2 linked regions of the Danio rerio genome follow. The protein of the gene in region 1 purifies or fractionates together with the protein of each later gene. This does not show direct contact. Links are inferred from orthologs where the notes say so. Each region holds a gene or a part of one and is shown in the gene's direction. Other genes may lie near its edges.

Region 1 (5,974 bases):
TCTGGGAAACATTCACACACACATTCACACACACACTCATACACTACGGACAATTTAGCCTACCCAATTCACCTGTACCGCATGTCTTTGAACTGTGGGGGAAACCGGAGCACCCGGAGGAAACCCATGCAAACGTAGGGAGAACATGCAAACTCCACACAGAAACGCCAACTGAGCTGATGTTCGAACCAGCGACCCAGCGACATTATTGCTGTGAGGCGACAGCACTACCTACTGCGCCACTGCCTCACCGAAAATATAGTTCATATACCAATATTTGTCAGGCATATTTTAAACAAGAATCATGTAAGGATATATTGATAAGACTATTTAAGCATTGAGGTAAAGTTGGTTTTAAATTTGCACATTGGTTCAGTGACATTTTTTTACACACTCCCTGAATTGTTTACCATAGTACTTTGAATATTCAGCCTGAAATCACATGTAACTTCAAAACAACATTAGCTCTGTTTAACTGACTGTGAACAATCCTGGTCTTTTATTGTCATTGGCTGCAATGCTTTCAATATTTCGAATTTGCAAACACTACTTTACTGAAACTATATTATTGAAGAGAAAGTTTGAATGTGTGAATATAAAACCTCAATTTTAAGCATCACATTGCAGCACCAAAATAATATTTGTAGGTTTTAAATCTTTGCCACTATCCTTCAAAACATTTGTATTTTGCTGTCATCAAATACAACAAAATATGTATGATTACTTATTATTTTCACATATTTTATTTTTCATATATTTTAATATGCACATGTCAGAATAAGTAAGTTGTGTCGGTGCCAGTGGTGTAGTGGTTAGTGTGTTGACACATGCACTCCGGTGCTCACGGTGACCCGAGTTTGATTCCCGCCTCGTGGGCCTATGCCAATCCTTCCCCTCTCTCTGCTCCCCATGCTTTCCTGTCAATAATCTCTACTATCCTATCCATTAAAGGTGAAAACCCCTAAAAATAATTGTAAAAAAAAAAGAATAAGTAAGTTGTGTTGGATTTGACAAATTACACTAACCGGCCACTTTATTAGGTACACCTGTCCAACTGCTCGTTAAGGAAAATTTCAGCCAATCACATTGCAGCAACACAATGCATTTAGGCATGTAGACATGATCATGCTGCAGTTCAAACCAAGCACCAGAATGGGCAAGAAAGGTGATTTAAGTGACTTTGAACGTGGCATGGTTGTTGGTGCCAGACGAGCTGGTCTGAGTGTTTTAGAAACTGCTGATCTACTGGGATTTTCACGCACAACCGTCTCTAGGGTTTACAGAGAATGGTCCAAAAAAAAAGAAAATATCCAGTGAGTGGGAGTTCTGTGTGCACAAATGCCTTGTTGATGCCAGAAGTCAGAGGAGAATGGCCAGACTGGTTCCAGCAGATAGAAAGGCAACAGTAACTCGAATAACCACTCTTTACAACCGAGGTCTGCAGAAGAGCATTTCTGAACGCATAACACATCCAACCTTGAGGTGGATGGGCTACAGCAGCAGAAGAACACACCGGGTGCCTCTCCTGTCAGTTAAGAACAGGAAACTGAGGCTACATTTCAAACAGGCTCACCAAAATTCTACAATAGAAGATTGGAAAAATGTTGCCTGGTCTGATAAGTCTTGATTTCGGCTGCGACATTCGGATGGTAGGGTCAGAATTTGGCATCAACAACATGACAGCATGGATCCATCCTGCCTTGTATCAACTGTTCAGGCTGCTGCTGGTGGTGTAATGGTGTGGGGGATATTTCTTTGGCACGCTTTGGGCCCGTTAGTACCAATTGAGCATCGTATCAACGGCTACCTGAGTATTTGTTGCTAATGTCCATCCCTTTATGACGACAGTGTACCCGAAATTGGAACTACAAAGGGACACTAGAGGCAACAAACGGAACTACAACAATAATGATCATTGCTAAAAAGGCTACAGCTCCGCCCCAAACTCACGCCATTGGCAGAGAGCTTCATCAAACTTTTGTGATTGGCTAGCTGCTCACGTTCTTGGGTGTTTAAAAAGCCTTTTATAGCTATTAAAAATCATTTTCGAAGATGACTTTATTGCCAGCAGGCCTGATATATGTTGGACACTAGGGTCAGGTTATGTGTGGTATTAATAATCGCTTCGGCAGCTTTAATCTGCACACAGTGTTGGTTACTTTGATTCTGCACTGCTTACTGCGGTCACCATCTGTCACTCTCCACAACACAACACAAACACACACGCGCGCTTACATTTATTAACACGCATGCAGTAAATAAACTCCTAATAATTAAAACGAGAAGCAAATAAAACATTTAAGTATATTATTTTGATCTCGATGAAGTCATAGCGACGTACGCGCCAACGTTACGTCGTCCGACGGAGACGTCATAAGAATGGTGGACTGCTGCTGTGTAAGGAGCGGCATGACAAACGAGAGAAACTTACGAGCTGAAAGGACAGTTTTACGACACATTTGAAGCCTTACACTGGTAACCATCAATGTTTCTATCATCATAATTGTTAGTCTGCTAATCAGAGGCGATGTGTTTAGAGCTTGTTTGTTGTCATAACGGATCGCAGTGCGCTTGCGTGGTCTCCACACTGTTCTTACGTAATTTTGGCGCACTGCTTTCATTTAATATGCTGCTTTTGACCTGTTTGTTTCACTGGCTATGAATAGAAAGCTTAAAGCTTGCATGTTGCTGCCATCACAGCCGGACATTTAAACAGTCGCTTAAATAACCCGAGATTATTATAACACATGATAGCGTCATGTATTGTCAGTGCGTCTTGACGTCACCGTTCAGTAACAAACTGTTCATCTCTGTTAAGTATTGATCATTAACTGTGCACTACCTGACAAAAGTCTTGTCGCCTATCCAAGCTTTAGGAGCAACAAATAATAACTTGATTCCTATTTGATCATTTGGTATCAGAAGTGGCTTATATGAAAAGCAAAGGCCTCTAGATTACACTTATTTTACCAAAATAAAATATGGTCATGCCTTGATTTTAGTTATTTAGTTAGGACAATAAGGTCTGACTTTGCTTAGACTAAAGTCTGTCACTTAGAAATAATGTACAGTATAGAATGTAAAGTCTTAGTGCAGTGGGAAAATAATTAATATTGTGTTTGACTCCATGAATTTGAAGTATGAGAAGGAGCGCTATCCTGCTGAAGAATTTGCCCTCTCCTGTGCCTTGTAATGTAATGGGCAGCACAAATGTCTTGATACCTCAGGCTGTTGATGTTGCCATCCACTCTGCAGATCTCTCGCACCCCCCCATACTGAATTAACCCCAAACCATGATTTTTTTCCTTTACCAAACTTGACTGATTTCTGTAAGAATCTTGGGTCCATGCAGGTTCCAGTAGGTCTTCTGCAGTATTTATGAGGATTGGGATGCAGATCAACAGATGATACATAAAAAAAGACCTTCTGCCACTTTTCCAACTGAGCAACTAGAAGTCAAGTTATTATTTGCTGCTCTTACAACTGGGATTGACTACAACACTTTTGTCAAGTAGTGTAACACTGATAAAATATCTTTGTACACATAATATGCATGATGGTACTTTTTATGGCACATGTCCAAAATATCTACTCTTTCTAAAATATATTGTTTATTTTATGGGATATATCAATGTTTATTCTTTTTAATAGTGTACGTTTTAAGTAGAACAATTCAATATTCGGAGAACTATACATTGGATTAAATAGATAGTTCAACCAAAATTAAAATTTCTGTCATCATTTACTCAAGCTTCACTTGTTGTCACAAACCTTCTTTGTTCTGTTGAACACAAAATAAGTTATTTTGAAAAATGCAACCATTGATTTCCATAGTATTTGTTTTTCCTACTATTGAAGTCAATGGTTAAAGATTTATAACATTTTTCAAAACATCTCCTTTTGTGTTCAAACAGAAAAAGGACACTCTTAAAAGTTCACCGCTTGACTGAGTAAATGGCGTGTAAATTTTTCTTTTTGGTGAACCCTCCCTTTAAATACAGTTGATATTTAGAGTAATATTAGTAATTTAATATAACTCTATTAGATTTACTGTAGAGGCCTGAAAGCAGATCGATGTTTTGAGAATTTCAGATCTCACTGCACTTGTCAGTCACACAAAGAAAGTCCTGCTCCATGTATTATTCAAGAAACACTGATGCAGTGGTTACATTGGCTTGCACCAGCCCTTATAACTTATATATGCCCACATATGTCTGTGTTGCAAGATGGACAACAGAAGACGTTATGATGAAAAATATTGATTCAAGAGAAAGGCATGAAGATGACACATGGTAAGGCCGCCGTTCGCAGCTCTGTGCCTGGAAATTGTATCATGAGTGTGTCATTTCTTCCATTATTGTATATTTAGCATTGGAGTAATGTAAAAGGAATCACACTTTGCTGCCTTCATGAGCCTTCAGGTGTGAAGGTGCACAAAATGAGGAAGAGGAGGAGGAGGAGGATGAAGAGGCAAGCCCTATTAGATCCAGTTTCTCCGTCGAGGACCTGCTCGATGAGGTGGAGAAGATCAGCAGTGTTGCCAGTAGTGGTAAAAAGGTGAGACAAATCACTGAGACATCTTGTACAAGAGGTGACCTAAAATGTATGCGGTATGTTGAGTTAAAGGGATGGTTCACTAAACTTAAAATATATTAATGGTTTTAAGCAGGCATGTCCAAACTCGGTCCTGCAGGGCCGGTGTCCTGCAAAGTTTAGTTCCCACCCCTATCAGGCACACCTGGGTTAGCTAAGGTGAGGTTTGAGCTACCAGAACTGTTGCTATGACAAGTCTTCGATGAGTTCATGGATCATGTCGATATCCAAATCCAGCTAACTGAGTAATCCACCTACCAAGAACAGACCCTAGGACTGTATAGTACTGGAAGGGCATCCGCTGCGTAAAACATATGCTGGAATAGTTGGCAGTTCATTACACTGTGGTGACCACTGATAAATAAGCAGAAGGAAAATAAATAAATGAATTTTCAATGTTAATTTAATAATTAGATGAACAAATGAATGCATTTTCAAGTGCATTCTTATGCTGTTTTATGGTTGATATTTTCAGGTTGAGATTGTGGTGAGACTGTGGAAAAATGGCTTCACGCTGAATGACGAAGACTTGCGCAGTTACACCCAAGAGGAAAACCAAGAGTTCTTGGAGGCCATTAAAAAGGGGTAATGTTTTCGTCAACATGGCAACATCATAGGATTCATTTTTCCACTACTGATTGGCTGCGTCCGAAAGCTTAGATAAGACTTGTTGCTTCACTACACTTTAAAAAATGCTGTAAAATTTACAGTATTACTGGCAATTATGGTTGTAAATTACAACTGCTGCAGTTTTACTGCACATTTCTAATTGCTTATGTACAGTGCACTAGTAAACTTGACAGCATTACTGGCAATGAAAACTCCAGTAATACTGTAAATTTGACAGCAATTTTTTACATTGACTATGGATGCACTGTTTGAGCATTAAAGCACCTCTCAGACTTTAGATTTCAGACTTTAGACATAATGATTTAAGCATGTACAACAAAACAGAAAGAGCTTTGGTGATTTTTGGAATATTTGCTTACTACAATACCAACTCAACACTAGAAATACCATCAAAAGTCAAAAATGTTCATTTAAACTTCGAGATGCCATCTTTATTTTGACTGTCAGTAATGGAACGCACAGGACTGTGGGATATTGAAGGGAGCAAAGGACATATTTATGCTGCCTTCAGAATTTGATCATAGCATAGTACCTCCTGAGACAAGAAGTGAAGCAGAATTTAGATTTGGAAGTGCCTTGATTTCTTCCCGCCTTGAAATGCTGCCTTAGAAGGAACATTTTCAGATCTTTCGGACGCAGCCTTTGTATGTTTTGTGCTTTTTAAAATCATATGATGACAGAAAAAGTACATTTTAAAAGAGTTTGTTTTCTAATTGATGTGCTTTTAGTTTTATACTAACCTTAAAACATC
Region 2 (5,786 bases), on another chromosome or scaffold:
CTTTAGCTCCAACCACCTCCAACTCACACCTGCTTAATAGCCTCTAGAGCTGTTTATTAATATGCATTCTTCAGTGATCTTGCGTGCAGAGAACGGAGGATGTGTGAAGGTTCCCAGATGTGTTCTTGGTATCGAGGGCACATCAATGGAGACTTGAGTGTAAAACTCGTTTGAGAAGTCCCAGACGTCATTGAAGCTGAATAAAGGAGGCGGGAAGTACAGCATTTAATATAGATTTATGATTAAAGTTCAGAGATATAACTTATTTGTCTCAGGAGTTTGCCTAAATTCACGGAGATGGTGAAAGTAAACATAAACATGAAAATCTTTATAAAGGCATAAACACATTAAGGGTGTTTAATTGCTGAAATTCATATTAAAGTCTATTTTTTGTATTGTGTAGAGTATATTTAAGTTTGTAAGGTTTTTGTGCATGTTTTTATACATTGAAAATGCGAGAGAGAAAAAATCAGTGGATATATACTGTTATGTTTAAATAATTTCCCGTTAAAAATGAGTGAAGGTCATGTGACTATTGGGAAGAGCGCATGCATCTCACTTCTCAGAGGACGCGTTCTGTGTCCTCACGACCTCCCTAGTTTGTTCTACGGAGGTGACCTGGCAAGACTGGTCTTCACAAGAACACAGGGCCATTCTCTGCCTTTTTGCAATTTAGAAAAAGCCTACTAGTCTTAAACACCTTGATTAGTTGGATCATCTGTGTTTGATTAAGGTTGGAGCAAAACTGTGAAGAGCTGCGGCCCACCAGGAGTCCAGTTTGAGACCTATGCTTTAGTTTAGAACATAAATTTTTCATGCTAACCAGAATAACTAACTTATGTTAACAAAACATAAATAGAAAATACCTGTAAGGTTGTAAATAAATCAAAGAGTATTAATATCATTTTATCAGTATATATAATCACATGCTCAACTGTAGTTTTCAATCAGTTGAATGGTTGGAATGTGCCAGTTGCAGGAATATTGTGCTGACAAAGAGTTGAGTATATGATCAATGAGATTCTACTAAACAAACTGTTTAAACCAATGATTAAAGACAATGCTTCATCATCTGTTTGTATGCCTGTAAAAAAAAGGCCTCCAAGGACTGCCATTTGAGCAACCAGAATTGATCATCTTGTGTTTTTCTTCTTTATTGTTCCCTTTCTGCAAGAACATTACATCTTTGAAAATGAATCTTCCTGGGTCTTTTAGGGGACATTACCTATAATGTGTTTTCTACACAGTATTTCAATGCATTGACATTAATGTAGGTTGAAGCACTAAAGAGAAATGAAATAAATATTTTGAATAAAAAGCAATAAAAATGGCAAAACTACCAATTCAAAAAATAACAATTGCATATTAATAATATAAATTAGTACGATGCCGGTGCAATGTGACATGAATATGACCACCATCATTCAATAGTCTGAAATAATGATATGCAGGGTCAAACGTGTGGAAGTGATTTAGGAAATCGATGAAAGCTCGTGTTTGTGAAAATAATGTAAATAAATACGTCCTGCAACACAATTGCTGGCATAGTTTATAGTACAATACATTTTACAATTGAATGCTGCATACAGAAAATGATAAACAGAAAGTAATGTACCTCCACTCAGTGTGTGCTGTCACAGGGCGCAGACATATTGCGAACACGGCACTGAATTGTCCCTGTGATATTTGAGGTCTAAAATTCCACACGACTTAAACTATTTTGATTAATACACAGCTAAATGTCAAATCCAAAAGCTGTAAGCAACGAAAGCCACATTACAGTCGATATTTCTTCCTTATCACCATACAAGTTCTCGAAGCGTCCTCTGTTTCCGACCGGAGCGTTTTTAGGTGAACACTTAGAGACTGCGTCTCAAATGCTCATACGCTGTCCGCGTAGACAACAGAAATTAGCTAGTGGCGCTTCGCTTTCCAAAACCACAACTACGACTTCTCACAATCATATCTAGCTAGTCAGCTGACTAGTTTTTGAAGCACAGCCAACCTCTCGAACTGGTCCGTCCGCAAACACGTCCTTCCTTAGGAGTGATTAGACTGCTGCAAATTCATCTCATGCATTCATCAGAGATTCATAAAGCGACCACCTCGACATTTTGACACCACCAGCCGACGGCCGAAGTTGTTATTTCCTAAAATCCCAAAACCGAAACCAGGCATTTGTCTATTAAAGGCTATCGAGCGCCGCTGAAAGGTTTTTTCGGGCTTCATCAGTGCGATGGCGGAGGTTCCAGGTACATCGAGTGAGACGATAACGGAGACCGTTCAGACGGGCACACCGCCTCCACCCCAGCAGGTACTGTGTGCCCTAGTTACGGTAGACACCATCACTAAGCAGACGCATAGCAAGTCATTCAGGCCACAGGACTCAGACTAGCAGTCCTAAGCTCTTGTGGTTGATATAATTTACGTTGGTTGTTTAAAATGGACTGTCTAGATACCAGCCATAAGGCCTGTTTTGTAATCAGCGTATTCAGCAGGGTTTATGTGTGCTGACTGGTTTGGAAGTGTGTTGTGATTACAGGTTGACCCACAACATGACAAAAATACAACCGGGTAAATGTATCCTTATTGACATTTACTGTATATGCCATGGTAGTTTTGGTTGCACGATTTTTATGGTTTTGCTTTAAAATGAATTAAAATAGTGGAAAGATTAAATAATGAATAATATTTTTCCACATTTTTATTTAGTTTAATGATATATGAAAACATGACATAAACGGTATACATATTAAAACCTAAATAAAAAAATACAAATATTACTTGATCTAAAATGAAAATTAATATAAAATATAGAGCTGGGAGATATGGCAAAAAGGTATTTTTATTTTTCATATTAATCGATATCGATAATTATTATGATAAATGTTAAATCTTTATATCTATCAATATTAAAGGACTTTCAGCATGCCAATCCCTTTGTGCAGCTGATTTAACATATTTTGTGAAATGTTTTTGCTGTCTGACAATATAAATAAAAATAATAATAAAGAAAAGAACAAACTAACTACTTTTCAACATTTACTGTTCAAGTTTCAGCAACCAAAGACATTACCTACAAGTTACTGTATATTATTGTTCAACATCAGGAAAAAGTAATACCCGTTTGGAACAAGTAAAAGGTGATTTAAGGGTGATAGAATTTACAGTTTTGGATGACCTGTCTTTTTAATGGTGAGGATGGTGAATTTAGAGTGAAATATCCTTTAATTTATGTTATTTAGGGATGCTAACGATTACTTGATGATCTATTGATTGTCAATAACCCTTTAGTCGATAGACCTTATTGATGACTGATTAAGCATGGACAACATTTAATTTCTTTTTTTTGTACTCCTCCATGTGCAGCTAACACTGTAAGGCTGTAAAGTTGTACTATGTGTGGCATCCGGATGTGCAGGCTGCAAAATGCTTGCGCAGTGTTATACATAGTGTATAAACATTATCAAACACTTATCGAACTGTCATTATCGTTTTATCAAAAAAAAAAAAAAAAAAAAAAAAAAAAATATATATATATATATATATATATATATATATATATATATATATATATATATATATATATATATATTGTGATAATTATCGTTATCAAATTATTGCCCAGCTCTAATATAATATATAATTTATAGTATAATTATATATTTATAAATGTATATAGTTTTATATATAAATCCCAGATTTTTAAATAAAATTTGACCATTTAAACACATGAAAATAGTTACTGGTAAGGCTGCACACAATATCATTTCAGCATCGATATTGCAATGTGCAAGTCCGCAGGAGTCACATCACAGGGATTTGCAATGTAATGGGGATTATAGTTGACCAGATTTTACAGTTAACTTCATAGCAGAGTAATTTCATATTTTGACCTTAGTGGAAGTTTATTATTTGCATGTATTTTTAAGAACTGACTAAATCTGAAGCAATCTTAAGCTACTTGGGCACAACAAATGGAACATTTGTAGCTTAAAGTTTAGTTGTACATCATTTACCCAATTTAAAAAAAACAGTGTTATTAATATTAATATTCGGTTATTATTATTATTACACAATGATTATTTAATTTCTGCTTCTAAATATTGTTTCACTTCCCAGAAAATCATAAATCATTATTTATTTGCTACTTTTCTCTGCTGTATTTAATATTGCTTGTTTTTTTTTTTATATTTTAAGCAGAGTCATCCCAGTCAATCTAAAATGATCAATTGTTTACAAGCTATTCAAGTCATCTTCTGAAACCGCATTTATATTGCAATATATATCACAGTCAATAAAAAAAAGCCAGTTTTTTCCATGCTGCCCTAGTTACTGTTTCTTTTTACATGGGATTATAAGGATTTTGTTGTGGTTATTTATAACTATTACTATATTTGTATTTATTTCTTCCTTATTTAATTATTTAGTTAAAATAAATTTCAGAAATAAAATATCATGAAATAAACTGCTACAATATGGTTATGGTTTTACTGTAATTTAAGCTAGGGCTGGGCAATTAATCAAGAAGTAATCGACTTTTAAAGCCTATAATCGTTAAAATTTTTTTAGGTAAATTTTTACAGTTACGTACCATGATCTGTTAGGTTGATTTATACTTCTGCGTCGAACGCACAGGTATGTCTTGGCGCAGCCTTCGAGCAGTTGCATACCTGCGCACCACTTGAAAAATTTAACTACACACATCGCACCTTTGCATTACATTGTTGATGATTGGAAGCTGCGCCAGAGATGCCTTCAGACGGCATATTCTCTATTACAGTAAAATTATTATTTACAATAAAATATTTGTTTACAGAAGATTCAGGAAATGCACAGTTTAAAATATTATTTACAGGATATACAAGTTATTTTATTGAGAAGAGATCCTGCTTATTTTCTACTTTTAATATAAAAAGAACACTGAGAATAAATTATTTTGTTTCCAAAAGTTATTTATTTTCACTGTTTTATAAGACAAAACTGACTGTTGGTTTTAGGCAATGTGTGTTTTAATTTCAGTTGTTCATCGTTGATGTTCAGTAAATAGTAGACTGTATTTCCTTCAATTATTTTAAAATCAAAAAATGCATCCTTCTTTAAAAAATCTATCACTTGTAATATGTGAGAATATTTACTGTACATAACCTGTTTGTGAACTATGAGGGCAAAATAAATAAATAAACCAATAAAATGATCATTCATTATTTGTAACTGAGAAAAAATTATCAAATTATTGAGGTTTTGATTTTAGGCCAAATCGCCCAGCCATAGTTTATGTAGAAAATAGTATTTTCATGTTATGTGTCTAACACAAATGTGCACCTTTTTAACCACCAAGCTTGTCGACACTATTATAACGACACAGATCACTCTGCCTATTCATGCCAGAGTCCCACTAAAAAAGTGATTGACAGGTGGTAATTAGTGTAACTTATCTTTATTTATTCATGATTTGGTTATGGGTAAAACAATAAATATGTGGGTCAGGTAATTGAAACAGTAGGCTACAAAAAATTAATTCTTACATAATTAATTCACCGCTGACTACGATGATGATGCCATCGTCCATCGCAGTGTTTTACATTAGTCATTGTACAATGCCAAATTGATCGATATCGCTCAACTCTAATACGGGTTAATATGAATGCAGGTAAATTTGTTTTACAGTGACACAGTAGTTATGTAGTTGTTTTTAGGCCGAACTCTTGTTTGCTATGAAAAAAAGTAGCTATTATATCTATTTATATCTTAAAAAATATCTATTATAATTTACTATTGTCATC

What was found.
Region 2: the proteins of ubxn2a (region 1) and ppp1r11 purify together in Homo sapiens (affinity purification with mass spectrometry; 3 studies listed by BioGRID and IntAct, counting the BioPlex papers as one, with this or other methods). This does not show direct contact. The link is inferred for Danio rerio from reciprocal best matches to the Homo sapiens genes UBXN2A and PPP1R11.

Annotation. Positions count from the first base shown.
Region 1 is NC_133195.1:47,885,423-47,891,396, reverse strand, and holds the start of ubxn2a (UBX domain-containing protein 2A), read left to right. Parts: upstream 1-2,357; 5' UTR 2,358-2,475; intron 2,476-4,226; 5' UTR 4,227-4,245; coding exon 4,246-4,292; intron 4,293-4,414; coding exon of another isoform or gene 4,415-4,421; coding exon 4,422-4,557; intron 4,558-5,068; coding exon 5,069-5,178; intron 5,179-5,974. UniProt on the Homo sapiens protein: Acts to repress the ubiquitination and subsequent endoplasmic reticulum-associated degradation of CHRNA3 by the STUB1-VCP-UBXN2A complex in cortical neurons.
Region 2 is NC_133194.1:29,863,581-29,869,366, forward strand, and holds the start of ppp1r11 (E3 ubiquitin-protein ligase PPP1R11), read left to right. Parts: upstream 1-1,875; 5' UTR 1,876-2,236; coding exon 2,237-2,314; intron 2,315-5,786. UniProt on the Homo sapiens protein: Atypical E3 ubiquitin-protein ligase which ubiquitinates TLR2 at 'Lys-754' leading to its degradation by the proteasome.